4 linked regions of the Drosophila melanogaster genome follow. The protein of the gene in region 2 interacts with the protein of the main gene of each other region in a pairwise test. Each region holds a gene or a part of one and is shown on either strand. Other genes may lie near its edges.

Evidence for each region.
Region 1: the proteins of CG30324 (region 2) and lms interact in a two-hybrid assay, tested with the Drosophila melanogaster proteins (one large-scale study listed by BioGRID).
Region 3: the proteins of CG30324 (region 2) and C15 interact in a two-hybrid assay, tested with the Drosophila melanogaster proteins (one large-scale study listed by BioGRID).
Region 4: the proteins of CG30324 (region 2) and H2.0 interact in a two-hybrid assay, tested with the Drosophila melanogaster proteins (one large-scale study listed by BioGRID).

What each region holds. Positions count from the first base shown.
Region 1 is NT_033778.4:20,553,387-20,561,768, reverse strand, and holds lms (lateral muscles scarcer), read right to left. Parts: upstream 4,893-8,382; 5' UTR 4,812-4,892; coding exon 4,574-4,811; intron 3,683-4,573; coding exon 3,534-3,682; intron 3,378-3,533; coding exon 2,628-3,377; 3' UTR 1,816-2,627; downstream 1-1,815. Other genes in the region: Mgat1 (mannosyl (alpha-1,3-)-glycoprotein beta-1,2-N-acetylglucosaminyltransferase), read left to right, coding at 1-463, 525-955, 1,016-1,120, 1,186-1,276, 1,334-1,416, 1,475-1,562, 1,616-1,729.
Region 2 is NT_033778.4:16,287,086-16,293,306, forward strand, and holds CG30324 (uncharacterized protein), read right to left. Parts: upstream 1,149-6,221; 5' UTR 1,056-1,148; coding exon 561-1,055; 3' UTR 501-560; downstream 1-500. Other genes in the region: CG9068 (uncharacterized protein), read left to right, coding at 1-365; CG30099 (uncharacterized protein), read right to left, coding at 1,186-1,839; JhI-26 (juvenile hormone-inducible protein 26), read left to right, coding at 2,287-2,523, 2,867-3,666, 3,843-4,125; CG42372 (uncharacterized protein), read left to right, coding at 4,466-4,633, 4,689-4,727; CG30100 (uncharacterized protein), read left to right, coding at 4,730-5,170; CG7747 (uncharacterized protein), read right to left, coding at 5,225-5,639, 5,698-5,849, 5,904-6,221.
Region 3 is NT_033777.3:21,496,757-21,504,486, reverse strand, and holds the start of C15 (C15), read right to left. Parts: upstream 4,502-7,730; 5' UTR 4,230-4,501; coding exon 4,057-4,229; intron 2,234-4,056; coding exon 1,818-2,233; intron 1-1,817.
Region 4 is NT_033779.5:6,011,690-6,022,645, forward strand, and holds H2.0 (homeodomain protein 2.0), read right to left. Parts: upstream 7,714-10,956; 5' UTR 7,505-7,713; coding exon 6,988-7,504; intron 2,408-6,987; coding exon 1,911-2,407; intron 1,809-1,910; coding exon 1,566-1,808; 3' UTR 1,370-1,565; downstream 1-1,369. Other genes in the region: CG9098 (uncharacterized protein), read right to left, coding at 1-37, 94-246, 297-422, 490-547; CG13996 (uncharacterized protein), read left to right, coding at 9,161-9,475, 9,528-9,983. UniProt on the Drosophila melanogaster protein: May play a role in pattern formation during embryonic and imaginal development. Is not essential for visceral muscle morphogenesis.

The sequences.
Region 1 (8,382 bases), 4.3 Mb from region 2:
GCGAACGCGCAAGGTGCTATTGGTAATTGGCTTTCTGGTTACGTGGACCTATGCCACCTACTACCTGCTGTTGCGCCAAACGGGCATCCATACGAGCCGGCATCAGTCGCTTCAGGCCTACAAGCTCAACTCGCAGGCTCGCGATGCCAATATGCAAAGCCATCATCTGGCCAAGAACGTGTTTGAGTTCGTCAAGCTGAAGTACTTGGAGAAGCAACCACCGTCGGTGGCATCCACGCCGCAAATTAGCATAATTGCCGCCGAAATATCGGCGGAGCTGCCGGAGCAGCATGTGGCCAAGTCGGCAACGGCGCGCATTCCAACGAAAACATATCTGGCCAATGGCGAGCCCGTGTTTCCAGTCGTAGTCTTCGCCTGCAATCGGGTGTCGGTGAAGAAGTGCATCGATAACTTGGTTCAGTACAGGCCCAGCGTGGAGCAGTTCCCCATTATTGTGTCACAGGTAGGGATCGAAATGGGCTACCCAATCTAAATCTTATACTTATACTTATGCTCTAATACAGGACTGCGGCGATGAGCCCACCAAGGAGGCAATCCTCTCGTATGGCAAACAGGTCACGCTCATCGAGCAGCCTGATCTCAGCGACATCACAGTGCTGCCGAAGGAGAAAAAATTCAAAGGCTACTACAAGATAGCCCGACACTACGGCTGGGCCCTGAACACCACCTTCGCTGTGGGCTTTGAGTTCGTCATAATCGTCGAGGACGATCTGAACGTGGCGCCCGACTTCTTTGAGTACTTCCTGGGCACGCACAAGCTGCTCAAGCAGGACCCCAGCCTGTGGTGCGTGTCCGCGTGGAATGACAATGGCAAGGCTGCTGTTGTGGACGCCGCGCAGCCGGAGCTGCTCTACCGCACCGATTTCTTTCCCGGTCTCGGCTGGATGCTCACCAAAGATCTGTGGGCCGAGCTGTCGGTCAAATGGCCCAAATCGTGAGTGGGGCAATTATGGTGTTTGCCAGCCAATCGCTAATGGTTCATTAACTGTTCTAGCTTCTGGGATGATTGGATACGTCATCCCGCCCAGCGCAAAGATCGCGTGTGCATTAGGCCCGAAATATCACGCACTCGCACGTTTGGAAAAATAGGCGTTTCCAAGTAAGAGATATAGCTAGCTAACAATGCAACGTGCCAGCTAATAATGATAATTTGTTGTTTAACAGCGGTTTGTTCTTCGATAAGTATCTGAAGCACATTAAACTGAGCGAGGACTTTGTGCAGTTTACAAAAATCAATATGAGCTACCTGCTGAAGGTAGGTACACACCCGTGCATTGTTGCCTCATTACACTAACAACTATTTCATGTTCAGGACAATTACGATAACACGTTTCTGCGGCGCGTTTATACGTATCCCATTGTTACGTACGATGAGCTGCGGCGAAACCTGATTAGGTGAGTTGATATATGATATATAGAAAGTATCTACATAATTCCAATTATGGTGTTGCAGAATCGAAGGTCCAGTTCGCATTCAATACACTACTAGGGAGCAGTACAAGCGGACAACTAAGATGCTGGGTCTTATGGATGATTTCAAGGTAGATCAATCAATCTATGTGCTTGAAACTATGATTATTCTTAATCTTTGTAGAGCGGTGTTCCGCGGACTGCCTACCATGGCATCGTCTCCTTCTACTACAACAAACGGCGCGTGCATCTGGCACCCAACGCCAACTGGAAGGGCTACGAGCTCTCTTGGAGCTAACGACGCTAAGGACAGAGTACCGCCAGCTCCACTTCCATTACCACGCAGCTAGCTCCGCGTGCTTGCAATACCAAAAATAGCCCTATGAGTTTTAATTTTTATTTGACCAATTAGCTAAGTTGTAACTATGGAATCTCCTCGAACAGTAGACGCTGTTCGCAGCCATCGCGTAGGCAGGAGTACTTGGAGTACTAGCCCTGATTTCTGATAGAAAACGCAATTCGTCTGCTCCAGATCCCTAGCCTACGGACCTACTGTTGGCGTAACAAAATCAAATCAAATGAGTCTCCACTATGTATAGTAGTCAACCGAACCGAACTGTGTGTGGCAAGAGCCAAAAGTGTTCCATTCTAGCACACCAGCCACACAAGCAACGCAATGAATTGTAAATAAGTCAGTGTCGTTCGCTTTTGTTACAGCTCTCTCTATCTGTCTATCTCTCTCAATTTATCGTGTTAAATTGCAAATAGTTATAGCAATGGTTAAGTTATAGTATGCAGCGTGTAATTTGTAGCATTTAAGTTGATCCAACTAGAGTTCTAACGGCAACGGACGTGTAATATTTGTGATTTTTGATTATTTAATTTACATTTATTAATTGTTGAGAGCCAGTCAGTAAACAGTACCCGACCCACACAATGTAACATAGAATAGCAATAACTAGCGCTAGTACTAGTACTAGAACCACAACGTAAACTAGACCAGTGCTGAGCCACCAGGGGTACGCCAGTAATCCCGGCCAGATCTGAAAGTGTGCCACTCTCAGCTAGTTGTAATGGAATCAACCCAGACAGGACACCTACTCTACTACCCCCTATGACTACACTTTGTATGAGCATATTTTTGTGTGTATGAGAGACGTACGGAACATAAATTCTAAAGACAACCAATCGCCTTTTCACTCCGCAGCAGGTGGCTCCTCATCCTCGTCCAGATGCTCGCAGTCAATGTCGCTGCACTCGGACTCCGATTGTGTGGGTCTGCGGCTCCGCTGCGCCTGATTTAATCCATCGTGGCCGTAGGCTGTGGCTGTTCCAGCGACTGGCGTGCTGCGTTGTTGCAGAAAGTTGGCATTGGCATCCCCAAAGACGCGTTCCAGTTCGGCGAGGCCATTGGAGGCGCCGCTTTCCGCTTCCGGCGGCAGCGTCGCGTACTTCATTTGCAGATAGCTCTCGTTCGTTGGCAGTGACGCCGCGTAGTCCACATAGCTGGTCGCATACGGCTTGCAGCGAGGGATGTAGCTGGCCGCAGGCACACCACCCGCCGGCGGCTTAGCCACGCCAAAGGGCAGGGCGAAGTTCAAGGGTTGTCCACGTGCCAGTATGGCATTACGGGCACTCTCCATCACACTGGGACCCGGCAACGGTGGCATTCCGCCGCTAGTCGCGTACGGACGCATGGGTGAGCCGGTGGCCGTCGTTGCTGAGGCCATGGGTGCAGCGGAGCCACTGCCATTTAGCATAATGGACTGAATGGGCGTGGGACCCGTTGGCGTTTGGCTAAAGAGCCAAAGGCGATCACCAACCACCATCGGCCTGGCCAATCCCCCGATACCCAGCTGGGCGTAATAGTGCGAGGCCAGCGTTTCCACGTCCGAGGTGTACTTGCGCTTCCACTTGGTGCGGCGGTTTTGGAACCAGATCTTGATCTGAAAAGTGAAATGAATGAATGAATTATTTACGAGGAATGCCAATTGTATCTCATAGATACAAGGGATTTCATTTCATGTTATTAATCGCTTTTAGATAGAATGGCAAACTTTTTTGGGTAGTAATTAAATTTTTTGATAGATTCCACAACTAACCTGCGTTTCTGTGAGCTGCAGCTGCTTGGCCAGTGCAGTTCGCTTCGCCACCGAAAGATACTTTCCCCTTTCGAACTCCGTTTCCAGTGCTTTGATTTGAGCTGCCGAGAAGGCGGTACGCGGTCGCTTTTTGCGGTCATCACCAAGGCCTGCAATGGAATCAAAGTGGGAAATCGAAATCCCAATTAGACATTTATTGCTACCGACAGCGGGCAATCCGGCGCGCGGTGCCAACTATTTTCGCCTAATGGTAATTTGTCGATCCGTTGTTGGCACAGTTGTATGTGTATGTAAAATGCCCCGTCGCACCGCAAAACCCCTGGCAAATTGCAAATCACACTGTTGCATTTCACTTAGCCAAGGCGTCTAATTGGCCATTTTGGCATACATTCTCTTGGCCGACCGAAAACAAATAGCCATATAAATTCCTTCTTAACGGGTGGAAGAATATCTCCTTTGAGATCGCCAGCGATCTTTGTTCGCTTGTGACATTTGCATCATTAGTCGACTGCGTTGGTGTCGACGAAAATGTGGATATGGAATGGATGGCTTATTCCCTGTCACCCAGAAGCTAATTTCTGATCATTTGTTTCTTGATCGCACGGATGACAGATGAGATCATTCAGCCATAGGCACTCACTCATTCGTTCAGGTGGGAAACTCATTGCATATTTACATACAATAATGAACGGCTGTGCTGAGCTCGTTATGGGTGATTCCATTAGGAGGTAAATCATCTTTTAGAGACATTTTTTTTCAGAATTTAAAATTTGTATATTGTAACTGTATTATTTGAAAGATCCTTGATAATTCCTTGAACCTTGATAATACTACACTTAAAAGCACTAAAGCACTGACTATTTGGCTGTTGGTGCTATTTATCCTGATGAAGTTCAGTATAAATCTATATTTTGTATATTTGCTATTTAATAAGGATCCAATTGAGCTTTAAGTTAAGTTTTTAGATCCCAAATCCAATTCCAGACACCAAAATTCTCGTCGTTGTAAAGCTTATATTCCGGCATATCGATCATACGCACCGTTTCCATCATCTGAGGCCAAATCGATATCACTTTTGCCGTCGTCCATGTTGTCATCCAAGCAACTCGATGTTGCCGGACTGGAAGCCCGTGAAGCACCGAGACAATTGCCACCGCGACCGCTTTCATCCTGCACGGAGTCCTCAAAGGAAGTGGAGCTGCGCATTTCCGGCTTGGCCAGAATTTGTTCGATGGAAAAACTGTGTGGATAGCGACGCACTGCCGATTGCGAATTCATGTTTCCGCCGATTGCGAGCGATATATATTTTGAAGATATTCCGGAGACAACAGCGCGCGTGGAGATCTTACGGAAAACTAATTTGAATATGCGGAGCATCCTGCTCACTGGCCGATTTTTCAAGATGATCGCCTGGCGGGGCGGAGCCTAAAATCATATATCTCCGCACCGCTCACACCATATGCGCAAATAGAACGACAGAAAGGAACAGAAACATACTATTCGATTTTCACTGAAGACAGCACACAAGTTCGGTTATTTTTAAAACATGTGTGAAATGTTTGGGATGAGGGGCGTGGCTCGCGTTCAACGCCGTCTTCTGGGTTTTCGAAATTGTTTTTGTCGCCTTGCCCGTGATTAAAAGTCATAATTTTTGGCTAATTGTCTACAAGTAGCGCTATTTAATATTTCGATGGCTTTGCTAAATATATTTAATACGTTTGCCAACATATTTCATCCATTTGATTAATGAACGGCGAGCAATTTCTTTGACTGGATTTGTTTTCAGTGCTTTGGTGTGCAGGCACGTGTCCTCTTTTGGGTTAATTCAGAATTCTTTAAACAATGCAGCATTCAAAAAATTGTATTCAAATGTACAAATGGTTTCTTTGTCGATTTTTTGGAATTTTTTAAATCTCTTAACAAAGTAATACAAGGCCATTAGTCTAAGTGATTGTAACGCAATGCATAATTGGGTTCTACTAGCTTGAGAAACATTTTTAATGTGTATAATATATTCAATTTAAATCTGAGAAACAGTAATTTTGAAGCACAACATTTTTTGAATCATAACTTAATTGTTGAGTTTTTAGAACACCTTCCTTACAGATATTTCATATTATAACTTTCTATTTCTTTGAATCCCAATCCCAAGCCCCCTGTAAAAATTTCATTAATTCGAAATTATGAACACATAATTCAGACAGAATGGAAAATGGAAAAGGGGCACTCAGGATCCGAATGGAGGGGAGGATCTGAGAAATTAGCCGGCGGCCTGGCTGACACTAGTTTCCAATTGGCCAGCAGCCAAATCCACAACATCTACTGGGCTACAGGGTGCCCATTCCTGGATGCGCGGATGCCCCATGATAACGTCTTCATTATTCAGGCGCGATTTGAACAAAATATCTGAAAACACGTTAATTAGTCGCCGAGATGGCGGAGCAAAAAGGGGAAAGGGGACGAATCGCAGGGCATCCATTTAGCCGGCCGGGCTGTCAGTTTGATTTAATTTAATGAGAATTCTGGCGGGGATTCGGATTCGGTTGCGGATGCGGGGGGGATCTAGATCTGCTTATGAGGCCGCATGCCCGAGTGTCGCGGGCACTCAAATCAAAATGACAACTTAATTTTCATAATTGCGCTTAATGAATATTCGACTATTGCTTGCCATATTTCAAATTCCACTGCCAAACAGAATGCAGACTTTGTTTCGACTTCGTCATTTTTGAGTATTTACCAATTTGTTGGCTACTTTATAACCTATCTATCCATGGGTATCTATGGAATCACATTCAAGCCGAACATCTGAACATAAGTATTCTATTCTATCTTGTTTTGGCTAAGTCAATATATTAAGTTTCCTAACTGGATCAGAGAAATCTGAGGAAGGAAATGAACTTGCAGATATGTTTAAGTATTATTATAAGATTCTCAGCATAACATATTTTGCATACCTCTTACCACTTTGCACTGGAATTTGCCTCTGGAATTTCGAATCAATTAAGGATCTTTTGGCCCTTATTGCGTAAGACGACAACCATAACCTTAGGCTAACTAAAGATCAGTTTGTTTGGTTCTCGCATTTAAGACTAAATGGAGCGCAGTCGCGTCAGAATTTAATTAATAACCGAGCATGCATCTTCATTATAAATCATCACTTCTCGAGTGTTTGTCAGGCGCACGCAGCATAAATCACGTCCGGAGTTGCACTGGCAGTCGCGTGGAACAGTCCGTCCTCCGGCCAGAATTTCAATGTTTTTTGTGCCCTCTTTTTGTCATCGCATCCAGCTAATGATGCATCAAGTCCTGCAGGGTGTTAGCTACATCTAACTGCTGCCTCGCTGCCACATCGATCATTGGGCTGCTCCGGACTAACATCTGTATCTGTATCTGAATCTGTATCTGGAACGGGCATCGGTGACACTCCCACGCCATTGACTCTCGGATATTCGTGTGGTTTCCGATTACGCCGAAGGTGATGTTGGAACTCCTTTTGCGGGCGAGCATTGAACTCCTTGGGAAACTGTATCCTGATTGATTCGTTGGGCTGTCTATTTGTTTGCCTCGAGGCTAATTTGTGTGAAGACCTATTAGAGCTGGTTATGGAAATATGATACCATGATTAGGTACTTAGAAACTATGTAGAACAGACCGCAGAGAGAAAGTATTAAGAAGGCATTCAATCAGGTGGTATAAATATGTATAATTTTTTATACATATTGCCTGTTAAGCAGCTTGTATTATTAAATGAAAACTACTTAAATTTTTCTATATTTTTGAACGTATTCGTTAATGCGGAAATTAAATGCAGATTGCATTATCCTGCCAAAAGACCGCCATAAATATCGGTGATGAATTTTGGGATCTCCACCCATCTTATGCTGTTAATTTCATTCATAAAACTGCCTCCGGCAAACCAAAAAACCAGCCTACGCCTTATAAACTGACAGATATAAATAATAATTAAGAAAAAAAAAAAAAAAACGGGAGAGAATGAACTGCATATTATTAATTTAATGTGCGCTCGTTTCGAATTCGGAGTCCGTGGATGGGAAGTGGGCTCCCAGTTTCCAATTCTTGGTGCACTTTTCTGGGAAACATGCTTGGGGAGGAGCTCGAGGAGTAAAAGGCGTCATTCCGTCATTCCGTGTGGTGTTTATGTTGCAGGCGAGCAGACAAGACTCATAAATTACAACCAATTATCAAATTAGATTTTTACAAAACATGCAGTTTAAATCATATAGGAGTGTTTCGCTTTTTTTACGACACAATCAAACAGATTCCGTTGGCTCTTCTCGGATTTCCCTGCCTGTTTTTTATTTGTATATTTTTTTTTTGGTTTTTATTTCTCGGATCAAATGGTGAATCAATTCGAATTCATGGGCTACTGATGGAGGCAATTAAAGGAAAAGCTGTGCAATTGGAAAAATTAGCAGACAATGCGAGCCCTGACAACTACGCGCAATTAATTTGGTGTAATTACTCAGGACTGAGTGACAGATCTGGAGACTGGATGCATCTGTATCTTTTGCCTTTATTTGTATCTCGAGTGTGCGGAGTGCGCTGTGTTGCCACCTCAACGCATCGATGGGATTCTCCTCGATCTTCAACAATTGCGGCGGCATTTTAACGAGCCAAATGGGCTGGCGAGAAGATTCCCTCCTCGAGTGGCGGAAAATTGCCCCCACATCCCCAACCCAGTGGAAAAGGGGTGCAGATCCACTAGTGACTCTACTAATTGACATCGGCAGTCTGGCCTGTGATATCAAACAGTTTCACGCACAAATTGAAACTGATAATTGTGTCGGACAGATTTATGGGCCTAAGTGATGAGCATATGTTTTAATTA
Region 2 (6,221 bases):
TGCGACGCAACGAGCGTAATGTGATGAAGGTTCCTCGTACCATCCGTGAAACGGTGGCTGCCAAACAGCTCTTTGAAAAACTCCTGAAGGATGTGCCAGTGAAGCAGTCCGCATTTACTCCGATGCTGGAACTCTTCGTTCTGCTGCACAAATACCAGGTGAAGCTTAGCGAGGAAACATTTGAGCAGGTTATGGGATTGGAAACGGCTTGGCTGCATTACCTTCAGGTGCTGGAGGAAGCGGATGAGATGCTGGACAATGAGGACAGTGAGGCCAAGTTGCTATTGGCCAAGCACGGCGAAAAGTTCAAGTTGATATTAAAGGATTTCCTGGAGGATTTCTATTCCAAATTACCCAAGAAATAGGAGTATCATAACTATTATCATAAGTGATAATCAATTTATTTACATTAAATTTAATTTGCACACCTACTAGCTGAGTAATGGGTATGTGATAGTCGGGGAAATTAACTATAGTGATTTATTGAAAAACATGCAAATACTTCTCACATTCCGAACTTTTATTAAACTCTTTTTTCCCCAATTGAGTCCTGCCCAGGATTACAAGTCATAGCAGAGCGATTTATTGGTACAGGGACAACCATCGATGCCGTAACGCCCAATCGGAATGTCCGTCTGGGTCTCCTTGTGCTGCGGTCCTGGCAACTCGTAGAATTTCTTACCAAAGTATCGATCCGGGAGATAGTACGATGGATACTCCGCCCTCAGCCTCTCGTGATCCTCCCGCAGAAATTTTGCCAGTTCGGGAGTAGCCCGTCGAGCTTCCAGGCGATACTGCTTCGGCTTGGCCATTCGGATTGGAACTTCCAGGTGGAGCTTCGAGTGCGGTATGTAGGACAGCAGCTCCTGGTCGAGTTTCACTGCCTGCTCTGCACGAATTTGTGCGCAAGTGGCACACTTGCATTTTCCACCATGGTAGCAGTACCGCTTTCGTCCATCCTCGTCCACCATCAGCAGTGGGGTGCAGATGGGCGACGGAACCGGTTGTGCCTCCGTCTGCGTGGCAACCGACTCCTGGGCGGGATCGGAAAACATTGTGGAAAGAGTGGGGTTCAAATCGGAAAGGTACGAACGATTTGGATTGCAGAATGAAACTAAATATCGGAGAAAAACAGATGTATTATCAGCAAACTCCTTGGCAACTAGATATCAAAAATTACAAATTTTAAATTAAACATTTTATATTGTGCAGCTTGATTAAAGTTTCCAAGTGGCTGGAGACACCTCTGCTGCATCCACAACTAAGTGCAGAGTGAGGATATGCAGCGGAGGAGTTCCACAGCCAGGTGAGATCCCCATGCCGATCACAATCTTTTATCCTCAATCGTTTATCCCCCGTGCAGTAAATGTTTTTGCTGAGATCCTTCTTATCCCGCTTCACAAAACCACAATCCGGACACACATGGGACATCGCTGGATTTCTTTGTGCAGCCTTCATCTGAAGATAGTAATCCTTGAGCTTTCGCTGACGCACTTCCTCGAAGAACTCGCGCATTTGTGGCGAATCCCGAACAGTGGGCTCCTCGATGGGCTTCCTACTCGCTTGCATTGGACAGACGACATCGTCGTGTTGAGCATTCTTCGACATTTTCAACTGATCGTGTCGGCCGCTCGTTATTTTGCCTTTTCGCGAAGAAGAGGACATATATGACATGTTATCCAAATCCGTGATCCTGATCGAAGCACTTGTCCTCTTTGGCACTTTGGATGGCATGCTGATATCTCGACTTTGCTGCGATCCATTCGTGAACTTTCGAACGTAGGTGTTGGCCCTGGTCATTGACCCGGTCGTTTTGAGTAAATACCAGTTGAGGCCCATTGGTAGTTGGTCGATAGTCGAACTGCAACGGTAGGATAGCTTTTTCTAAAACTGGAAATTTTGACTAAAAATATATCGATACCTGTGATTATGGAAAATAGAACTTAATCCAAAGGAATCATTAAACTTTGCACACAATAAACAAAAAAAAAAAACTAATTAAAACTAATAAATAGCGTATCCCCCTATCTTTGCGTCATGATATCTTATCATATCATTTTAACATGCCAAATTGCATCATGCTAATCATTAGGTAGGTACTGCTTCTCTATAAACCATAAAGTGCTTTTAATGATTAGAAAGCTTTTCATTTCCAATTCGCTCTTATCGTGTAATCTCTAACAACGAATGAGCTTTTGGAGAGTAGTACAAAATGAGCTATATGAAATGGTTTATGCTCATTCGCTATCCACAAGCGAAGCGGTTGGGATCGTCAGTACCGACGAAATGGAGAAGATCGAGGCTGAGAGGCAATGGCTGAGATACACGGTTCTTCCGTCAATTCTGAGGAACGGGCGCCTGGTGGACAACTACAGCGAGTCCAAGGTGACCACATTCCATGTGGGGGACATCGACATTGATGTAATTGGCCACTCGGAGGCCTTTATGCTAACTTTTTGCTACCGGACAACCATTAATTTTGAATACGACGGGCAAAAGTTTCAGCGAAAAATGGTGGTTAAGGTAGGTTTATTCCATTCACATAGTATAAATAAATCTTAAACAATCTATCTGGATATCTAAAAACACAACGAAAAGATTTACTATACTCGCGGAATTTAAATTATATTATATAAGTGCCTTAACTGCGTACTACTTACCAGTTTTGTTTTCCAGCAAACTCAGATAGCTTAGTGAGAGTGTGGGTTTTATGGCAAACATTGTGAAATAGAGGGAGGCATCTCAACAAAAGAACAAAGCGAATTGATTTTGAATTCAAAATAAATCACATCTAATGATGAAGTTTACTTTGGCATGCAATGACCCCAGAATACCAATAATTAATTGTTTTTTTTTTTTTTTGTAGAAAACACCTGCTATGCCACCAGAAATGTATGAATCCATACAGTTTGGGCCCCTTTTTACCAACGAGATAAATTTCTATACGGAAATTCTGCCAGAGTTTCAGAAGTTCACCGATGGCAAGTTTGCCGCACCCAAGTACTATTACGGCGAGTTGAACCAGCATTCGGCTGTGGCCATTCTGGAGAATTTCGCGGAGCAGGGATGGCGGGTCACCAAGGATCGTGTGGGTCTGAGTCTGCAGCACGCCATGATTGCCGTGAGTTACCTGGGAAGGTTCCATGGCTTTGCGTACGCCATGAAGCACAAGAACCCGGAAAAGTTTGCCCAGCTGACTGACAATCTGAAGGAATCTCGCTATGCCAACGATAACATTCATCCGGAATGGAAGCTCACCATGAAAACGAGCATCGATCGAGCGGCCAAGGCGGTGGCCACCTATCAGCCACAGATCGACGAGGAGTTTGTTAAGAAGTTCTGTTTCATGATCTCGGACTATTCGCAATACGGTAGGCAACGGGTGGCGCCCAGGGAGCCACTGGCCACCCTGTGCCACGGCGATTATGTGAGGAATAATGTGGCGTACAGGTACGATGACAAGGAGGAGCCGCAGGAGATCATGATGTTCGACTACCAGACATTGCGAGTCTCCTCTCCCATGGTCGATCTCAACGTCTTTCTAGCCGTGTCCATTTTTGCCGAGGTACGCGATCCAAACTTCGAGGCCATCTTCTGTGAATACACCTTGGCGCTTCATAATAGCTATAGGGAGCACGCCAAGGAGGAGGTTCCGGATTTCCTAAGGTGAGTTGTTATTATTATTCATTATTCATAAGCTTTTAAAATTTCAAACAAGCGATATGAATGCAAATCAAAAATCTAAAAATACTCATTAGGTGCTCGATGTGATAAGATAAGATAATCCTGTAAAGCTTTTTACTGCCAAGAAATAATATAATACTAATTACGCTATTTCTTAGTCGCGGTGAGCTTCTGAAGGAGTACGTGCGTTTCCTGCCGTACAGCTTATCCATATCGGCCAGTTTCCTCATGAGTTTGGTGGATCCCTTGGACATCTCGCCCGAGGAGATGTTCGCCTTGCAACTGTCTGACGAGGAAATCATCGAACGGACCATGAATCGAGGTGGAGAAGTTGTGGACAGGGAGGTTGCTCACCAGGTTAAGGAAATGCTGGAGCTGAGCCAGGCGACAGGGGTGTCCATTGATGACGGCATTGATCTTGACAAGTTGCCCAAGGAGTAATCAATTGATAGCCTAATGTAAAAGTATTCAGGCATTTCAGGTATAGCGTAACTGTAGATAATAAAATAGATGTTAAAGTGACATGCATTACCTATTTAGAGTTTAATACACTGTTTAACCGTGACTAGGAATTTTTAACAGTGGTGGGGGAATCGTAAATTGTGGGCTACTTAAGATTTATAATCTTATCATTGCGTTTTTTTCAAATGTTTATTTTTATAACTGTTGCTTTTGTTTTGATCGCACAACGCCGCAGCTGATTGTGTTTTTGCTGAACTGCCAACCTGTTGTAGTTCTGCGTTAACCAGCACTGTCACACATGTGAGAGTGAAATATGAAAATGGTTCAACCTTCGCGGCAGCAAATTTTGCGTTTATACAAGCATTTAATTCGTTACGGCAATCACCTAAAGCTGACCGACAAGAACTACTTTCTGGGAAGAGTTCGCCACGAGTTTCGGGACAACCGTTCCCTTACGAATCCCGTGGAAGTGGAATTCAGCTTTAAGGTAAGTGCCACTTTCGTATTTCATAACTGATTTACAAAATGAACTTATATTTCAGCGCGGAGAGACCCTGCTAAAGAAGGGACGCATTCTGTAGGAATGCTGCGAGGTCTGGTGCGATTCCTGGCGCTGCCTCCGACCGCTGTGCGCTGCAAGTCCAATCTGGACTACTCCCGCTTTCCCGTGCTTCAGGAGTCGGATATCGAGGAGACCTTCATGCGCGGCAGTGGTCCTGGTGGCCAGGCTGTCAACAAGACATCCAACTGCGTGTTCTTGCGCCATCTACCCACCAATATAACGGTCAAGTGTCACACACATCGTCTAGCATCAAAGAATCGAGTGGAGGCTCGTAAACTTCTACTGGAAAAACTGGACGTGCATCTAAACGGAGAGCATTCAATTGCCGCGCAAGTCAAGGCACAAGAGCAGAGAAAGTCCACTGAGCGGCGGCGGCGACAGGAAAAGCTGCAAGAAATGAAGAAAAGCTGGCAGGATAGAGAGCGCACAGATGGGGGAACCAAATCTACCGATAAAGAGTGATAACTTTTACTTCTAAAACGGTCTTTTAAATATTTATTTTTGGAAAACAATGGGTTACCAACTGGAGAAATCTCCAAAACCATTCGCCAGTTTCTTCTTCTTGGCTGCTTGAGCGGATGTAAGTGGCGCCTCTGGCTTTTTGGCCACTGTCTGAAGTTTCAGGTACTTGCCTACGCCCTCTCTGTACACCTTCAGTGGCTCCTTCATGCGCTTTTGCTGCTCCTCCTTCTTGACAATCTCCTCCTTGCCGGCCGCCTCCTCCTCGCGCTCCTTGGCCAACTGTTCGGCTGCCTCGGCAAATGGATTCACAAAGACCTGTGAGGACTCAATGATGATGTCCTCAATTGGTCTGTCCTTGTTATCCACCTCGATATTTTCCATCTTTTGAAGAGTGTCTAATCCTCCGACAAGCTTTCCAAAGATGGTGTGTTTGCCGTCGAGATGTTTGCAAGAGCGATAGGTGATAAAGCTACGAAACAGCGTATACTTGCAAAAGCATTGAAAAAATGTCACTTTGTGGTACTTACAACTGAGAGCCATTGGTGTTGGGTCCCGAATTGGCCATTGATAGCACTCCTCGGCCCGTGTGCGTAAGATTCGGCTTAAACTCGTCCTCAAACTTCTTGCCCCAAATGGACTCGCCACCAGAACCACTTCCAGTGGGATCACCACCTTGCACCTGTGGATAAAACCATAGTAAATTAAAGTTTCTCTCAAAAGAGATCGTACTTACAATAAAATTCCTTATGGACCGGTGAAACATAACATTATTGTAGTAACCATTGGCGCAATGCTTGATGAAGTTATCGCAGGCTCGAGGAGTTTGATCGCAGAAGAGCTCCAGGTTGAGAGGGCCAAGGTTCGTATTTAAACGAACGTAGCCCTTCTTTTTTACCCGCTCGTACTTGACCAAATCATCATCTATGATAGCCGCCTCTATTTGGGAAACGGGCACCATGGCGGTAGACGTAAAACTGGCCGCCACCGCTCCAGTTGAATAGTGAGCTGCGTTGAACTTGTCAGCTGTACGCTTCGAAGTGGAGGCCTCCTC
Region 3 (7,730 bases), on a different chromosome or scaffold from region 2:
ACTGCATTAGGGCGTGCATGGCCGAAAAGTAATTGGCGCCTGCTGCGACGTAGTTTCCCAAAAAATAACGAGAATTAACATGCGATGGTTATTAATCATATGGCGCTAAGGGCCCCGGCGGAAGAGAGAGGAGCACTTTGGTCGCGGGAAGGGATCGGATCGGATCGGATCGGATCCGCACCCTGGACGCTCGTTTGTCTTGTTAATGAAAAAAGCCAAGGCGCCAGCTTATCAGCCACAAGGCAAGCGACACAATAAACACAAAAAGACACAGACGTTGGCCGAGACCAAGACCAAGACGAAAACGAAGATGTTGACAAAACGAAACCGAGCGGCAGAAGCTTGGATCACCCGGCGGGCTCATAAGTGTGCCCCTCAGGTGGAATAGTCGACTCGAAGTGACTGATCCGATCCCATTCCATTCTATACGATCCACTCGATCGAATGCCCCTCCTCGGCGGATATACACACAAGTATGGATATGGATATGCAGCCCTCGGATCGCCAGCATTCGACTGGCTAATTAAAAGCTGACCATGTCAGTTGGACTCAAATGTGAAGTGCGGTATGCGGCGATAAATAAGCCGGCGAGGACAGAAAACTCACTCGCTGAGCCCAGCGACCGCCCAATGCGTAATTAATTCCTTTTCGAGCGCAGCGCGAAATTAAAAAGTCATGTAAACCAGCTCATTAAAATAACTAAAATGAAGAAAAAGGCCAAACAGCTAACCAGAACCACTGGGCGGATGTCGGCCATAAAAGCCCGTCAGATTGCCGGGCTGCGCTGCTCCTAAGCAGCTTTTCCACATCACAAGGCCGAAAAAGGCCCGAATATTATGAGTTATAGGATCCGAACCCTATCGGGATCCCCCTTCCACACCATTGAAGATCCCTCGGCTGCCGAGGCGTAATAAAATCAACGCCGTCTCATTATTTCAAAGGGCTCGCGCTGTGCCCATCGCTTGTAGCTACAAGTGAAGCTCATAATGTAAACAAATTAACAAAAAGGGAGCCAGAAGACCCAGCTGCACGTGAAGTTGCAGATTCAGATGGAATACAGATACAGATTCGGATACGGATTCAGAGGACCAGCGACAGATACAGATACAAATTCAACTGCGCATGCGCATGCAAATAAGAAGGCGCATCTCATTCCTGAGTCGCTTCTGGGCGGCGGCTCAGCGTTAAGTTTTTAACTTAAGCTGCGATTGCGCATTTGAAGGCAAACATGTTTTTATACTTTAGCATCCCAAGCTCACCAGAGTGAGTGTACACTGAGCGAAAATTCGTATTATGAGACCTGTGTTCTAGCCTTAAGCTGTTTCTTACCCACAGAAAATACCATCTAATAGACCATCGTAATTATATTATAAGGAAATATGTAAGTAAGCCCTTTTAGACCATTAGACAACGTTCTTCGCACCTTATTTTCAACAATGAATATACAAAAATATGTTTTATCAAGAAGTTTAAAATTATGTTCCTACACCCTATTGCACAATTGAATGCATCCAACTACGCGTTATGTAGGCACATATATAACATTTTTATTCTTAATGTTACCAATTCTTTTATTTCAAATGCCACATTTTCTCTTGGTGCACGAATGTGTTGGCCAACAATGACATGCCGATAGGCATGTTGCCTTAAAAGTCTTCTCTGATCGTGCTTATTTGGGGAACAGTAGCAATTGCCACCGCGGGTCATTGGAGGATCGCTCCCCCGAAAGATCTCGGCGAACATGGGCCATCCCGACATGGGGGCCCCGAATGGGTTGGATTTGGCAAACCCTCTTGACTTCGCTGCTATTCACTCACCTGCCAACCGATCCTTGACCGCCTGATGTGCCAGCGCCGCGTGATGCAGTGGCGGTAGTGCCCAGGTGAGCGGCGTTCTCTGGGGCGGTACACGTAGCACATGACCGCCGGCCGCTGAGGGATAGAGATGCGGATACGAGTATAGTGCTGCGGCGCTTCCGTATGTCGAGTTGGCGATGCTGGTGGCCAGCTTATAGGCCAGGTCGTGGTCCTCCTGCTGCAGTAGCTCCTTCTCCTCGCCCTTTTCGCCGCTGTTGTTGTTGTTGCTGCTGGAGCCCGGACTGCTGCTGAGCAGGTGGTTGTTGTTGTTGTGGTGGTGGTGACTCGTCTCGAAGGGCTTGGATAGCAGGCGTGATATGCTGAAGGGCAGATTCTCACTGGACGAGGAGCGCGTCTGCTCCGACTGCAGGGACTCGCTGGGAATAAAAACCGGAGAAAAGACATCAGAATCGAAGGGAAAGAAGCCCTCTGGAGGTGCGGGCTCATTAAAATGTGTCGCCCGATAAGCGGGAAAGCCTGAGAACATTGACTATAATTAAGTCTGTTGCAGTGCGTACCAGTCTCGGAACCACTAACCAAAAGCCCACGCGAGCGGATAAGCCGAGTTGACGACATGACATGCAGAACCCGTGTGGCCACCGCTGCGTATACGCAATGCGGCTGGAAATGAAGTAATTATGCAAATGCTGACGGCCGTTAGAGGCATTTAATACGCGCCCATAAATCATCAAATGCCATCAACTGACGCACCGAAAACAAGTCACGCACGGCATTTAATTTATAAATCCAAAAAGTAAAAACCCATTTGGAACAGGAATGGAATTGTATCGGAACAATGATCTCAAATCGCCAACCACCGACACACAGACACTTTCCAATATCAAAAGTTATGAGCAAACACATATTATTTCACTGGCCAAAACTTGCTGCTATCTGGTGATCTACATTCGCTGGAACGCGGGTTTTATGGCATTTTTATGACGATCTCTATTAAAATGTTAATCCGACAAACGATTTCGTCTTTGTCCGGCATTCAAGCCGAAGATCCAACTCCAGATTGAGCCCCAAATGGACCCCAATGTCTTATCACAGCCCGTTTTTGGCGCCTTACTAATGTGCGTTTTATCGTCGTCGTCTATTGGAAACCCTGGCCATCCGTGAACTATGTAAATTCAGGGAGTTTCTTTGGCACTTTATGGGACATTTCGACTTGATTCTTTTGGTGGCTTTGTGGTCAATTCATTAGCGTTTAAGAGGTTTGTTCACACTGTTCTTCTAAGCGCACAAACGCTTGAATGGGATCAGTTAACACGGTCTGCTGGATGCTCTGGCATCTTGTTATCCCCTTTTGTCGCTGGAAAATGGGACCATTTGTAAGAGCGGACAATGGGGCTTAAACATCAACGCATTTCAATGGCGTTGAGCCACGATTCGAAAAATAGGATTTGTGAGCATTATGAGTGACAATGTTAAAGATCGTAAAACAGTGGGAGTTATGAGCTCGTAATAACAAATGCAAATAGCTTTTCTCCGCCACAATACTTGTTTGACTTTTATAGGGCAATAAAATAAGACTGTATGCCAACTATTATAACTATAGCTTATAGATCTTTTTCTCTCAGTTAGTCGATCAAATTGCTGTCGATCTAAATTTTGACTTATGAGTAATTAACGAATAATGTGGCCAACTAAATCAAGCCCAGTACTTACAAAAAAATATTTATTAATTTGCATGATGATCATAACCATCAAGAGTAAACGAAAAACTGAGCTTTTTCTTTAATATATTTTTTTTGGGGATTTTCCGTAATGAATTGTTTCAGACCAATTATTATGTTTGTACATCGTATAATTTGAAAGTAAAGCCATTATTATTATTAATAGAGATGCAATCTCTTTTCAAGTTTAGTGTAGCAGATTATTTACGATACAATTAAACCAAAAATATTTTTTATTGTTCGATTTTGCAACGTACATAAATTCAGACGTTATTCATATTTGAAAAATATTTACCAAAATGAATTTTAAAAAAAAAGGCCTCTTCAGTTTTAAGTAAGTAGTACGGAAGCCAAAGCATTTTATCACAATCTAGTTAAAAAAATAATATATGTATGTATATGTAGAAGTCTTATTGTAATTGGAAGATCTGCTTATTTATGGTATATCTATACTGATAATATCTATATTTTTGGGACATTTTTCCTACTTCCTGGTTCTATTTAAAAGCTCTCCTTCTCACCTCAATGGCGTTTCGGACTCGTCGTAGCAGCTGCCGCCGTCCATATCCACATCGGATCCGCTGCCACATGACATCCGCGAGTCCGAGTCCACATCCACGTGGATCTCCTGTTCCTCCACCTCTTCGCCGTGCTCGTTCTCGTGCTCATGGTCATCCTCCTCGTGGCTGGACATTTTGGCAATTAGTGGCGCCAATTTGGAGCTCGCTCACTGCACTTTTCGAATCTTATTGGGCACTCTTTTCTCTTAATAGTTAGATGTAGAGTGTTTCAACCGCGAAGCACACACTAATCGTCCGATTGATTTCAATTCAGTTTCCGCGCTTAAGCACTACCCGTTGCGGGAAATTCCAACTGAGAACTGCTTTGGATTCACGGATTACGGTCTACGGATTAAAGTTTACGGATTACGGATGGCGAATTGCGAGCTGGGAGCGGACGCGTGCTAGCGGGCGAAAACGCTTTTCATAAATGCAATCAAATTGTGCCGACGGCCGCTGCTCTGCCTGCCCTCTGCCGACTTGGCTGCCTCTGCCGATTGCTGGTGGGTTTGGGCTGTTGGAGTGAGCCGGAAACAAGTCAAACCAGTTGCCCGACGTCGACGCCGCTGCCGACTTCCTTCCTATTTCGGTTAAGAGCCAGTTTGCCACCTTGTTTGAACCTAACCTACCATAATACCAGCAACCTGCCTCTTCTGGTTGGTCCACCCTTGAGCCATCCATCCCGCTCTGATCGCACATGCGCCTGACTGCCTCTCGCTCGTGGAAACAGGTTTCGCTCTGCCCGCCGATGGGCAGCACTGGTCGGTAATTGAGCCACGGGGCGTGGCCTCGGCCAACCGCCATTGGCCGCTGGCCGGAGTTTGCCCCACACACTTGCCACTCTCGACGTCCACTTCCCGCTGGCAGTTGCGACGACATTTTAAATGGAAAACGTTTTGCTTTTGGGGTTTTTTATTAGACGAGAGCATGAAGAGAATGTATTTTTATTTCGATTGTTTCTATTTTCAGGTTAGCCAAGCGTTACCACTCTGCCTCGCTCTGTCTCACTCGCTCGCCCGCAAATCACCCCTGCAGAGCGAGTCAGCCAACTGACGAGCGAAAGAGATCACATCCGCCCGCCGACTCTTTTCCGCGGAAGTGCAAATGTGGCAGATTAATAGCACAATTGGAAATAGCGTTCTGTCAGCTTGAGTTCACAAAGCAGCGGATTTGGCCAGGAGGGCTGCCCTGCACCACCGCCTAATGTCACCCCTCACCACCTCACACCGCTTACTACTGAGATCTTTATTAGCGCCAAGAGTTCTACGCGCTATCGCCTGGCATTTGGCAGGCGGCGATTGCGATAAGCAGACTCGAGCTGAAGCCACAGGAATCCAATCCATTTGCCCCGGCCATGCGAATGCAAATTGCGCGGCATGCAGTGGATGCAGCAGCTCTGGCATTTTCCACAAGTTCACCCCACGGGTTAATTGACAGTTTTTCTTGGGCACGAGCCATGTTACTGCTCATCGCTGGCCGGGATCTCGGTCCTAGTCTTAGTCTCAGTTTCAGGTGTTGTTCTAGCCGGCCTGGATGGAATGCGTGTGTGTGGCCAGAAGCGATTGCGTACTCCGTTTTCATTAGCTGAGATAGCTGAGTCGAGATGTGGAATGTGAACCCCTTCAGAATAAGGCAATGTTATGAAAATCCCAAATCCTATTTGCGATAACTTGGATAATGCATTACTACGCTTAGGAGATTCGCTACTGGTCAGAGGATAATTATATCTATATTTCATAATAAAGGGTTACTATATCTCTACTTGCACAGTTTGGTTACTCTTAAACATGATTTGCTTTAAGGTCTTATATTGTACCTCACAAATACTATTCTGTGATTTAAAAGAGTGCCAATGTATGTACATATTGATCACTGGTTTTAAGCTGCATATGCAGCTTTTTGTTCAATGTTAAATTATGTTAGTTAATTATATCTACATATCTTTACCTATCTTTATAATATCATTATTCATAATTTGATTATTATTCAATTTTTCTTGAGAGTGGGCTGCAGAATCAAACCGTTCACTTTGCATTTAAACGGAGTCCGATCCTAGAAGTAACGACTATAAATATTCATTTCTGCACTTAACTGGCCATGTTTCTGTGTCAGACACGAGCAAAAAATCATGGCCAAAAATGAAGAAAGGCAATTACTGCATATTCAATTGGCAAGGCACACAAAAGCACACGCACACCACTTGGCAGTGGAAAGGACTCTGGAAAAAGTCACGAGGCGAACTCCATTTCTCTTCGTACCGCCTCGCAATGTCATTGTTGCTGTTTTGCTGCTGCTGCTGGCAGTCGTTGGTTGGTAGGCCTTGTAGTCGGCTAATTGGATTTCATTTGGGCAGAAACAACGCAGAAACAATTGCCGTAATAAAAGCAACAAAGATAGCAACAACAGCGCCCCATCCACGGCAATTGTAATGCAATTTTAATGCAAAACGAGAGGCGGCCAACATTTTTATTGCATTTTTACTTTTATTTCACTTAATAGCAGGCAACAACAATAACTGCAGCGGCAGCAACGACGAGGAATTGGTGCTTGGTATGAATACGAAATGATGAGGCTCAGACCACCACATCGCATTCATGCAGGGGCAGGAGGAGATGGCTAAGAGGCTGGTGGTGGTGGTTCCGATTCCAAGATGAGAACGAGATGACGGTGGGCGATGGGCGGTGGCAGGGCTGTGGAAAATTAGTATGCAGCGTCGCACTGCAGTCGGGTGGCAGACAAAACAGCAACAACCAGAACAAACTTAGCCTAAGTGTATCTACACAATCACTGGGAGAATAGGTTGTGTCTTTCAGATTATTGGTGAAATTCAATTAACTTTAAATCAGTTAACTGCTTGTCGACTTTCTGTGAAAATCCTTATATTTAGTTGTAGGATATTTTTTTAGTACCCACCTAAAGGATCACCGATTTGGCGTACCCGCTTGGTCTAAAACCTTGGAGCTCCAATCTCATAGCTTTATAGGGTAAGGATACAGGATAAAACCAACCTCTGGAATCTAATTGTTATCTTTACAGTACTTTTGGAGTTTTAACTTCTCAGAGCTGAATATTCCTAATAATCAATGTCTGAAAAAATATAATTTTATAATTGTTACCGAAGGTAAAACCAAATTAGTTGGAATAAATGCCCGAACTTCTTTCAGTGTATGCACTGTAACTGGTGCAGCCACAGCTTCAGTCGTTGCCACTTGACTTTATTGGCAACTTCATGGAATATTCAGCAGCAAAGTTTGGCGCAAGTGCCTCCGAATAATACCGCCCCAGGAGTCGCTCCAACCGCTCCTGCCGTTCGAAATCCTGGCAGTGCTGCCAACCTCATTTGGTATGCATTTTTATTTGGCTCATATACAAATGGCGGAGCACGGCGCGACTTTGGTTCGCCGTTGGGGTTGGGGGATGTGATCCAGATTGGTGTGACAGCGGGGCTTGTGGGGGTTGCCGAGCTCTGCAGACCAAGTGTCACTTAAAATGCCAATACTGATTATAGCCATCTCTTGCGCTCCCTCTCTGACTTCAGGCATCTGTCTCACTTTCTCTCAGGATGGCGCAGCAAGGATTTTATGTGCGGTCAGGGCTGGGCTATTATTGGTGACAGTTTTACCTTTATGCGAATC
Region 4 (10,956 bases), on a different chromosome or scaffold from region 2:
TTGCGCCGTGGCACTGCTCGCGGCGCACTGCTCATTGCTAGACAAGATACGAGTAGATAACTCAGTGGGGGGAACTACGTTTCACTGGCTTACCTTCCAGATTCATGGACTGCCTTCGCTTGGCACGAACACCCAGCAAACTGTTGACCATCCGCTGGCGATGGGCACCGCGCACGCCAAATTGCTTCAGCTCCTTGTCCGTGATGTCCACCACATCGTCCACGGTGCTGAACTCCTGTAGGTTTCCTGGTTAACATAACATACAGTCTCAATTGGGAACTGCTGATCATGCAAACCTTCGTACTGCTGCAGCTCCAGAAGGTCCAGCCACTCGCTTATGCTCATCCTAGAGTTGTGCACCATTACGGCCAAATCTTCGCGACGACGCACTGTGTTCGAGTACCGAAAGTTCCACAAAATGCCTACGAAGCGGTTACGAAATGTGTGATCATTATGATCAGAATCGGAAACCGTATTTTCGCCACTCACTGCTCCTCCGATTCGGCACTTGGCGGTTCTCCAGTTGTCGGGCTTGGGTGTTGCCCATGTTGCCCAGGCTATCTTTGCAAATCCAATGTGCAGATCTGAAAGATCTTTAAATTCTGGAGCAGTACCAAACACCTAAGCTGAAACTCAACCGCGCACTTCGCTTTGGGAAAAACAACTGAACGTGAGCAAATGTTGCCCAAACAGACTTCTTCAACTGAGCTGAAATTGCATATGTCATTCACCGACTGTTAAATACCCTAAAGGAATTACGCATATAATTATAAATCATATATGAACGTAAGATTGCAGCTAAAGTATGAGTAATATATATTTATTGTTTCTATTCTATTCTCTATTTAGTAATGTTCTTTAAATTCAGCTATAAATCGTTGTTATTTTTTTATAGTTTTCTATAATTTCAGCGGAGTCTTAAAGTAATTGAAAAAATGAACGAACTCAGCCAAAGAGACCGACAATGACAATAAAGCCCAAGTGAGTAAGATTTCAATGTCGTGCACCAACAATTTACCCTCACTGTTTTTCTAATTAGTGCTCTATATCCGCAGTGCCCCCTCCTCTCACTCCCCTGTCGCGATCCACCAACCGATCCGATCGTATTGGATAAACCCATTCGCACCCCCGCGCTTGACCAACTCACTCCAGTCGTATTTGCTCTGGCCATTCAGTCGCGTATCGTCTTTTATCGTTCACTTGATTAGAGAAGGTCTCCCCGTTGTCGCCGAGTTTCATATTCTGCTGATCGCAGCGGTATTTGCTTAATTAAAATTTCTGTTCTTGCCGCGTAGCATTGCGTATTTTTATAGCTTCATTCTATGGAATAGTGAATAATAAATTAATAATAAACCAAGCTGTGAATTCACAAGTTCATTTTACTAGAGAATTTATTTTAAATAGTTTACACATAAACGTTTAGATTATCTTACAGATTGAAATAATTTAAGTTCACTTTGTGCAGTATCTGTCTACTTTACATTACATTACAACTAGCAATGAAGGAATAAATACATCTACATGGCATTTTACACGTGTAAACGGAGCTATCTACATAGGCGGCTCTACTCCACCACATTGATTTCAATATTATCATCTTCGTCGGCCTGCTCGCTCAAATCCACACTGGAGCAGCTATCGGAACTGTAGTCGAGTGCCTCCTGGGGCGTACCATCACCGGATGGCGTGGATGTCTTGAAGACACCTCCGGATTCGGGTACTGCACTCGGCTGCTTCTCCTGGCCACTCTTCAGATTCTCGCGCGTGTGCCGCCACTTCATGCGACGGTTCTGGAACCACACCTTGACCTAATCAGGGTATAAAAATAATAATATATTGGTTTTTATAGAGCTATGAAAGGAGTCGAATGTGCAAATGTTAAACTATGAAAATCCCATCTTTTAACTAACCTGAGCGTCGGTGAGATTCAGTCGTGCCGCCAGCTTGCGGCGATCTGGCTTGGTGATGTACTTCTGCTGCTGGAACTGAATCTCCAGGCCCTTGCGCTGCAGATTCGAGAAGACGGCGCGAGACCAGGATCGCTTGCGCTTCCCATTGCTTCCGGCTGAGGCGTTGCCCTGGCCATTGCCACCTCCATGTCCATGTGCACCGTTCTGGGATGTGGCAGCGGCGGCGGCGGCGGGCGAGGTGGGCGCTATGTCCAGGAGCTGCTGCGGCGTCTTGCCCAGAAATCGCTGCTGCTGTTGCGTCAGCTGGAGGCTCGTGAGGCTGTGGAGCGGCGCCAGTAGCGCCGAGGCTGTCGTCGAGTTGTGTGGCGGGGGCTTGTGCTGCTGATGGAGGTGTTTGGGATGGTGCTGATGATGATGATGCTGCTGGTGCTGCTGCTTCTGATGTTGATGGAAGCGGAGGAGCGCATTGGTAGCCAGCGTGGGATAAGTGGGTGCGGCTGTTCGGGAATGGAATGTTAAAGTCAATTGGGAGATTCATACTTCCTTCATTAGCAATAACTCTTAATTTGTTGCTATACTGAATCCGGTGCGTTTTTTACGCACCAATTTGGATATTTATTTTTATAGGAAAACTACCATTAGTTATGGACAACATCCTCCCTTGGTAGCACATTGCATCCGCAGGAAATAATACATTTATCGCCGGCCAAAGAAATGATACTTGTTTCGCCAAAGAAAATATGAAATTCAATTTTTTGTGTTTTCTGAGTAAATTATTTTGATCAATAAAATGCATGTTGAGAATTTTTAAATGGGCTTGTTTATAATAAAATTTTCACTTAATTGGAAATTATCATTGAAGCGTTTTGTGGCTAGGGGGGGCAAACGAAATTTGTTTACTTCTAGCGCGAATCTAAACAACAACAATTACCTCTAGAGATCCAAAATTATTTGGGGTAATCGAACACGACATGGGGCACACGAGGTTGAGGTCGAACCAGGGTGCTTTACTTCCCTTAAATGTTTTTTAAATATCCAAGAATTTATACACGCAGTAAGAAACAATTCGAATGACGTTGACTTTCCTATTGTATTTCCAATCATTATTGGCATTTACTATCCTTTATCTAACTACTGAGTTTCAATCAAGATCATTACGGCATTTATCAACTCAAAGGACTCCGCTGAAAAGTATGCTACAAAAAGTTCCTTTGAATCCTCAGTTCACGATAATGTTCACTAATGTTGATATGAAATGTAATCCTGATGTTGTTAAAAGGCCACAATTTTAATTCCTATCCTTGACTTTTTCATTGAATTTTATTTGATTTCAAACTGCAAACCATTCCTCTTTGTTTGTAGCCAACGCTAAATTATCATAGGTATTTTTTATTGCCTTTTTAACGTTGTGCTATGTGGAATTCGATTTGTTTGTGTGCTCGCGGCATGCGCCTAATTGTTTTCGAGATCGAGCGTTTTATTTACTTAAGCAACACACTACTCGATCGATTGTGTGTATTTACACTGCAGCGGAAATGCGCTTCTGCACTTGTGGATACAATTGTATCTCAATCCGTGCGCTTGTGTATCTGCATCGGGAACGCCAATGGAATCTCAGCACATCTGCAGGGGCTAATAACGCCTTAATTGGCCGTTTTGGCATTTGGCTTGTGTCAACCATCGGGGGTTTGTTATAATGAGTTTTCACCGACTTTCAACACCTTGGATGTTGGCCGGGGCATTGGGGTTCACTCACAGCGCGAGATCATTAATTGCCGACTTTCCCGTTCAGATACATTTACAAAATACCGCCAGCGGACCCGTAAATATCTTAATGAGTTGTGATAATTTTTCGGATGCCATCTTAAATCACTCAAGGGTCTGGGTTGCAGATGCATCTCCAGTAGGATGTGTTTGCGAATCGTACATTTCGCAGCCATATTTAAGTTGCATCGATTTATTAGCACGATGCATTCCACATTTACGACTTGGCGAATATTGTGGCTTATTTCGCGGTAAATTGCGAATGATCTTTTGGGGTTAAGCAGAGCACTCCCAGTGGGCCATGTGCTATGGAAATTTCGACTACCAGCTCGACAAGCGGAGTATGTGTTTATTTGATTGATTTTAATATATTATACATATGTATCTACTTCCGAACATCCGAATCTCTGACTTTTACCAGCTAACTATGCACTAAGATATATTATCTGCATTATGTACTTTCAAAATATTTAAGTGAAATCAAAAGTATAGCTAATATTTCAATTGTATATTTCGTGAAATATCTTTAGCTACTTGGGATTGTCGTCAATTTTCACTCAATTCATTATAGTTAATCCTATAGTTGTGGTATCTACATACATATATCAGTCCCGTTAATTTGAGTTGAGTGCGTGGTAATTATTATTGCTACAACCCTCCCCTGCTGTTGGGAACTTGAGAAAGAGTCTTCAAAGTTCCAAAAGAAATCGTCTGAGGGCCATCATTAATCAGGGATCTTCGAACGCTTTGAAAGTGCATCTATCAGTTGGATTAACATATAAATTGCTAATTAATTAGACCCACGGCGCCGGATTATTGTTCAGACAGAATTTCCATATCAGACAATGGTCTGTAGCATCCAATCGATCGATGGATGGATCGATTGATCGGCAGCCAGAAGAGCAACAACAACAGATCAACAAACTACTCATCGCCAGGCGGGACAGGCAAACAGCAACAAATAGTCGACGGAGGAGCCGCAGAGATCTCGCTGGTCCATGATTTTATGATGTGCGATGCGATGCAATCAATCCATCACGGAATAATTCCGCAGGGGCCGGCAGGTTGGACACGGCGGGCAGCCACAGGGTAGCCTCCTCCTGAAAAGGCCACCACAGTGGGTGGTTGTGTAAATACTTGGCCTTTTGGCTCGGCCCCCAAAGAACAGCGCATAGTTTCACCCGTGCCCGTGCCCGTACCCATACCCGGTACAGTCATCCATCGGTCAGCAGTTCCCTGTCGTTGGCCTAAACGGCAGCCGAGCCTCATTGGAGTCGGTTGAGCCGCAGTAGTTGGAACCGTGGCGCCCAATCTATCAGAGATCCGCGTCTCTAGCCGGGCCAAAGATGCCTCCACCTGTCGAACTCCTCGGCCGGCGGAACAATTCATTAGAGAGCGGGCAATTAGATGGATAGCTATCTGTATCTGCCCATGAATGACGGGCCAATTGCCCAAGCAAATAAACAAACTGTTCGCCACAAACGTTTTCCACGATCCGTGTGAGCTTGAAGTTTATTTTTAAAGACTGACTCGTAATTTGTTCATAAATTGTTCTTAATTTTCCACTTTGGTCTTTGGCATCTCATCTATTTGCGGTGCCCAAAGGATTGATGAAGCCTTTCAGGTGCTGTCTGTTCTTCGTTTTTTTTTTACCGATCTTTTGTTGATTGAGCTATGTCGAATTTATTCGCCTTACTAATTGCTCCTCCCATTTTTGGCTGAGCAAATGTGTTTGAAAACCACTTAGCACTGATGATAATTTTCATTAATGTTCCATCATTGTGTGAAGTGTAATTTATTTAAGTTTGGCGCTAATTTTGCTACATAATTTAATCGTGTGCTGGAATTTGGCGGAATTTAAAGGGCTATTAGTATCGAATTTACGTTGGATGAATCAACCAAAGTCTTTTTTGAATATGTTTTAGTCGGCTGTTAAAAAATTGTATTTTGCTACTTGTAACTAGGTCTAAACTATAGTAAGCTTTAAGTTAAGCTCGCTAATACCATTTACACATCATTTTAGTATAGCTCCACATATTTGCGGGTCTCTTATTTTGAAATAAATTAATATCTCAGACATTTCCTAATCAATTTATCCATTGAGGAATCCCAAACCAAATATGTATCTCATTTATCCGCAAAAGATCTTTAAGATCGTTTAAGGCCCTCGCATTGTTAGCACCCACTTGATAAGAATTGTGTACAATATTGAATGGGAAAAGGCTGTGCTGACGATATGTATAAAACTCAAGCAGCTTGTTAAACAATGAACAATTTCTATTCGAAAAGCGAAACATTTACCGATTATGTTGCTCTCACTATTTCCATTTCCATTTCCATTTTCACATAAACAAGATCAAAGTGCGCTGGCAGCCTGCAGGCTTTATAAGAAGTCTTCGTCCCCAGATATACAAAAACAGCAGGAAGTACGGCAAATACCCAAAACAATCCGGACTATTTTGTTGTCGATTTCAAAAATCGAATTGTTTTCGTCAAGAGCCAAAGGCGCGGAACATTTGGCCGCAGGAATATTGCACAATATGGCTGCAGATCAACTAATAATTCAAATAAAAACGTGAAATTTATTGGGGCTGCGCCTTAGGTTCTCACTCTTTGTGTTTCCAGGAATGTTCATTTCCCATTTGGCTAAATTCCATTTCACGATTTTCTCTGCAAATCTCAACATGGCTAATAATTATAGTCCATAATTGAAAAACAGAGCGAAATAGCTAAGGAATTTTGATGGGCAAATGGCGAAGCCACCTCATCAACTCGTTTGATCGTTCCCTGAGATCCTGCATATTTCCATGGAAAGAATGCAGAATGATTGACAAATCGCAATATCTGATTAGCTTTGATCAGTTTTATTGGCGCTGCAAGTGCACACAACATACGGGGAGATTGAAATAGTGCAGATGATAGATCGTATCTACAAGATAGAGTCATGGGTATAAAATATTATTTTGATAAGTGGTACGTTGTTGGAACTAGAAGAGGTTCACTGCGAACGAATGATGTTTCAATAGCTTTCTGTATGGAGCTGATTCCTTTTAAGTTTAAAAGTATCTTAAAAATACACTTAGGTACCTATAATCCATGTAATACGGATCAGTACCAATATAGTTCATATTAATTTAAGGCATCCCTTACAGAGATTAAATGTTTTCCTTCTATCAACTCGGTTTGCTCATGATGTTCCAAATGCCGTGCACTTAATGGTAATTTTGAATGATTTACTTTCAAATGGACATTTTTTTTGTAAAACCTGCTCGGATTCAAAGGATGTTCCCTTTTGAGTATAGTGCATCCTTACCGTGTTCTGCTGCCCGAATTGGCGTCGGTCTGAGCACTGATTTGTAATCCATATAGGGGCCAGGGAACAGCTTATCCAGACCCACGAAGGGGTACGTGTGCGATGAAGTGGGTGTGAAAGTGGGCGGAAGCGTGGCATGTCCAAACCTACGGGATTCGGCATTCGCCTGGCTGAAGCAGTGGGGGAAGGAGCAGCAGGCTAGAATGCTGCCATCGCAGCATGACTTGGTCGAGGGCGAGGAGGAGCTCTGCCGGTGGGATTCCTCGGGTTCCGAGCCCAACAGACGATCCACACTGAAGCTCAGCTTGACTTTGGTGGTGCTCGTGGCGCTGGTTGGCGACGTACTGACTATGGTAGTCGAGGCACAGGATTCTTTGGTGGGCAGCTCATGATCGACATTCACTGGATCGGGACACTTTGCCAGCGTTGGATTCACTTCACACTCGCCGTACATGTGAGTGCTGAGGTTCTCGGGCATACTCTGTTCCATGCTGGCGGCACTCTCGTGTAGTAACATTGTCCGGATATGTGTTGTATATGGTTTCTATCTACGAATCTCGACACAGGACACTCAAAACTGATTTCACACGTTCACAATCGATAGGGACTATCTATCATGTCCAAAACACCGTCGCTGTGCACCAATAAAACGATCGCGAATTTTGGCTTAGGTCTCGTGCACCTCCGATTAAACCGCCTTGCAAGACATCCCACTCAGAACTGATCGGAACCGGCCAGGGAGCACGCTCAACCAGCCATCGATTGCCGATCGGCCAGCCAACGCGGAACAGTCTGTTGGCGGTGGGGTTAATCTCGCTGAGATTGTGTATTCCTGGTGCTGACAGTGGGGCAAGGAGTGCGAGATGATCAGGATATAATGCTAACAATAAATAATGGCTATATGTTCGATATACAGGATATACAAACCAGGATATTTTTTTATCCAACGTGTATATTGTTTATAAAGTAATACTCAAGAAGAGTAATACTATCAAGAAAGATTAGATTTTTGGGCTTCGGTTGGTGGTAACATTGGTTTCTATTCCGCTGAAGATCTATATACCTCTAGAAAGTGCCCTAAAATTATGTTAATCCACTTACCATAGACCTGATCCCACTGTAGCCACACACAGATGGGATACCTTGCCATGCCGATCGCTTGTTTACACACAAGCATGCCGCTGTGTCATTAGCTCAGTCGGAGATCGTTTCCTCGAGCGCAGCCGAGATTTGTTTACCGATTTCTCCATATGTTCCCGTACTCCCACACACAGACACACACACCCCATCCGAATTCCGGTTTCCCTGCGCAGAGGCCATGTCGAGTGGCTCGTGGTTCGTGATTTCTGGCCAATGCGATCGATCCGCAGTGGTGGGCGGAGCCACTGGTGGCGCTGATGCGGCATCTCGCTTTCGCGCCCAAGGAATGTGCCTTCCATTGGCTTGGGATTGAGCGATCTGCGCGAACTCCACCTGCTCCACGCTGTCTGGGTTCAATGAAGTGGGTAACCGGGACTGGTGGTCATAAATCAGAAACCGCATTCCACAAGCGGAAATCCGCAAAACGGAACACGAACGGATCGTCGGGGTTGGAAAACTTAAGTAGAAATGTGTAAATTGCGGAGCGAAACTGGCGTTATTAATAGGAAAATTGTCGTGACTACCTTAAGATAGCATACTTTCCGGCACAAAACTCCCATCCAAGCGGGCGGATTTGGTGCCAAAAACACCCTAGCACCACAAGCCCACAAAGTGACCCAGAAAATGTGGAATATGCAAATGCAATGGCAGCGGAAAATCCATCGCCAGTCGGTGACACTTTTATCCTCTTCAAAGTGAAGTCCGATTAATAATAAAATAATCCTTTTTACTTAAAAAAAAAGATTCAGATACATTCCAGGATATGCCGAACGTTCAAAGATACTGATTGGAAAGAGCATGGCTTAAATTCCATTAACCCATTTAAAGTGCAAATTGAGCCTTAGTGATTGTAGCCAACAACTTTTCCCGGAAAATTATAGGGCATACAACAAATGAAAGCGAAACGCAATCAAACTATGTAAACAGACACGAACGCCACTTATTCTTGAGGAATCGCTGGAAACCGCAACCAAATCGTTGCGGGGCAACTCAATTCACTTTGGCCCAGGAACAGTGCGCTGCCACCACTCGAATGGAGTCGTTCTCAGCGTCCAGGTGCTCCACCATACCGTCACCACTGCCGCACAGTGCCAGTGGCATGGACAGTCCGGATATCTGTGAGCCGCCGCAGGATGAGCAGGAGTTCTGCTTTCGCTATCCCAGCTACATGTTTCCGGACGTGGAGTACGACAAGGAGGATGTGCCGCTACCCTTCAAGGCCTCGCCGGACTCGCTCTTCAATCTCTGCGCCGCCGTCGTGGATTCCCAAGCCCGCACTGAGGTCTTCAAGTGGAGCATCAACGATGTGACCGACTGGCTGCGCAACTTTGGTTATCCCGAGTACGAGGTGGGCTAAGATTCTTACTCACTATGTTGGGTAACCTATAGCTTCGTTACAGCAAACTTTTCGGGAGAACTACATTGATGGACACAAGCTGCTGAATCTGGACGCAGTTGCTCTGGTTGCGCTCAACGTTCGCAACTTCGAGCACATCCGCCACCTGGGCCGCGGCATACGAGCGCTTTACAGGAAGGAGCTGCAAACGGCGACGGAGACCAAGCAGCAGAGTGAGGTCTATAAGACATTCCGGGCCCGCACTGGCCGAAGGTACGAGGGATTGCGGGAGACGGAGCTACTGGGCCGCATGCACATGATTCGCTCCGTTTTCCGCGACGTCAACGACTGGGATCTGATGGAGCTGCACATGTCCAGGGCGCCGGTGAGGCGGTATCGCGAGATCGTCGCTGGCTCCAGACGCTACAACCTCTATGGCCCATCGACAGCGCGCCGGGAACCCATCATTACGGACGATGTGGATGCCACACCGTGGTACAACTTCGAGGATTGCTACTGATTCACTTTCAACTTGAAATCGTGGTTAGCTTTTGGAGCAATAAAGTAACTTCTTTAGTGGACAATTAAATTTTAATTGAAGGAACGGTCAGCTTAAATCACTTTCTCTGCGCCATCGACGATAAGCACAAATTGGTGGCTCTCCAAGTCAAATCCTACGACTGCCCCACCTCATTGGATCACCGATGCTGCCCAATCAGTCGACACGGCGCATTGATCACTTATCGCTCTGAATTGTTGCTTTTGCTGTTGTTTTGTGGAGGGGTAGTGGGGGACTGGGAACTGGGGACTATAGGATCAGTGTTGTTACCGTCGAGAGCCGTCCGCATTCGCGTCCGCTCACGTGTTCAAATTTATTGATTGTTCTGCTCACAAGACACGGCGTTCCAGCTTTTCCTCCGCAATCCAGCGAACTGAGCTTCGCTCTGAGTTTTGAGATCTGGGCACGGCGTCCAGCTGTGCGGCATGGGAGACGTACGTGTGGTCGGCTTATGTTATATTTCCCGACATCTTGTGTGTCCGTCGATCGGTGGGTGAGCATAGCATAGACCGAGATTGAGTCCCCTGCTCAGAGCTATGTACGCCTAGATGCAACCTAAGACGCTGCCACGCCGTCACACACTGGCCATGCAAATTGCCTTTGGCCTTTATTAACTTAGGCCATAGGATTGAGACTACCTTAATAACTCGTTCCGTTAACACTTTATTATGTTCGAGGCGCATAAATCGTTCCATCACCCGGACATGGTCCCGAGGAGGTCCCCAAGTCCCCCACTCATCCAGTTCCCTAGTTCCCCGAGTTCCCAAGTTACCAAGTTCCAGAGTGTCTGCGTTCGGGCCAACGTTGGCGATTATGATTTATCGCATTTTAATCAATTTAAAATGTTTAAACGATACGAATCGGAAGAAATTATGAATGTGTTGCTGTCTCCAGGCTCCACAGTAGGCCACCAATAACAACAGCCACATAACCC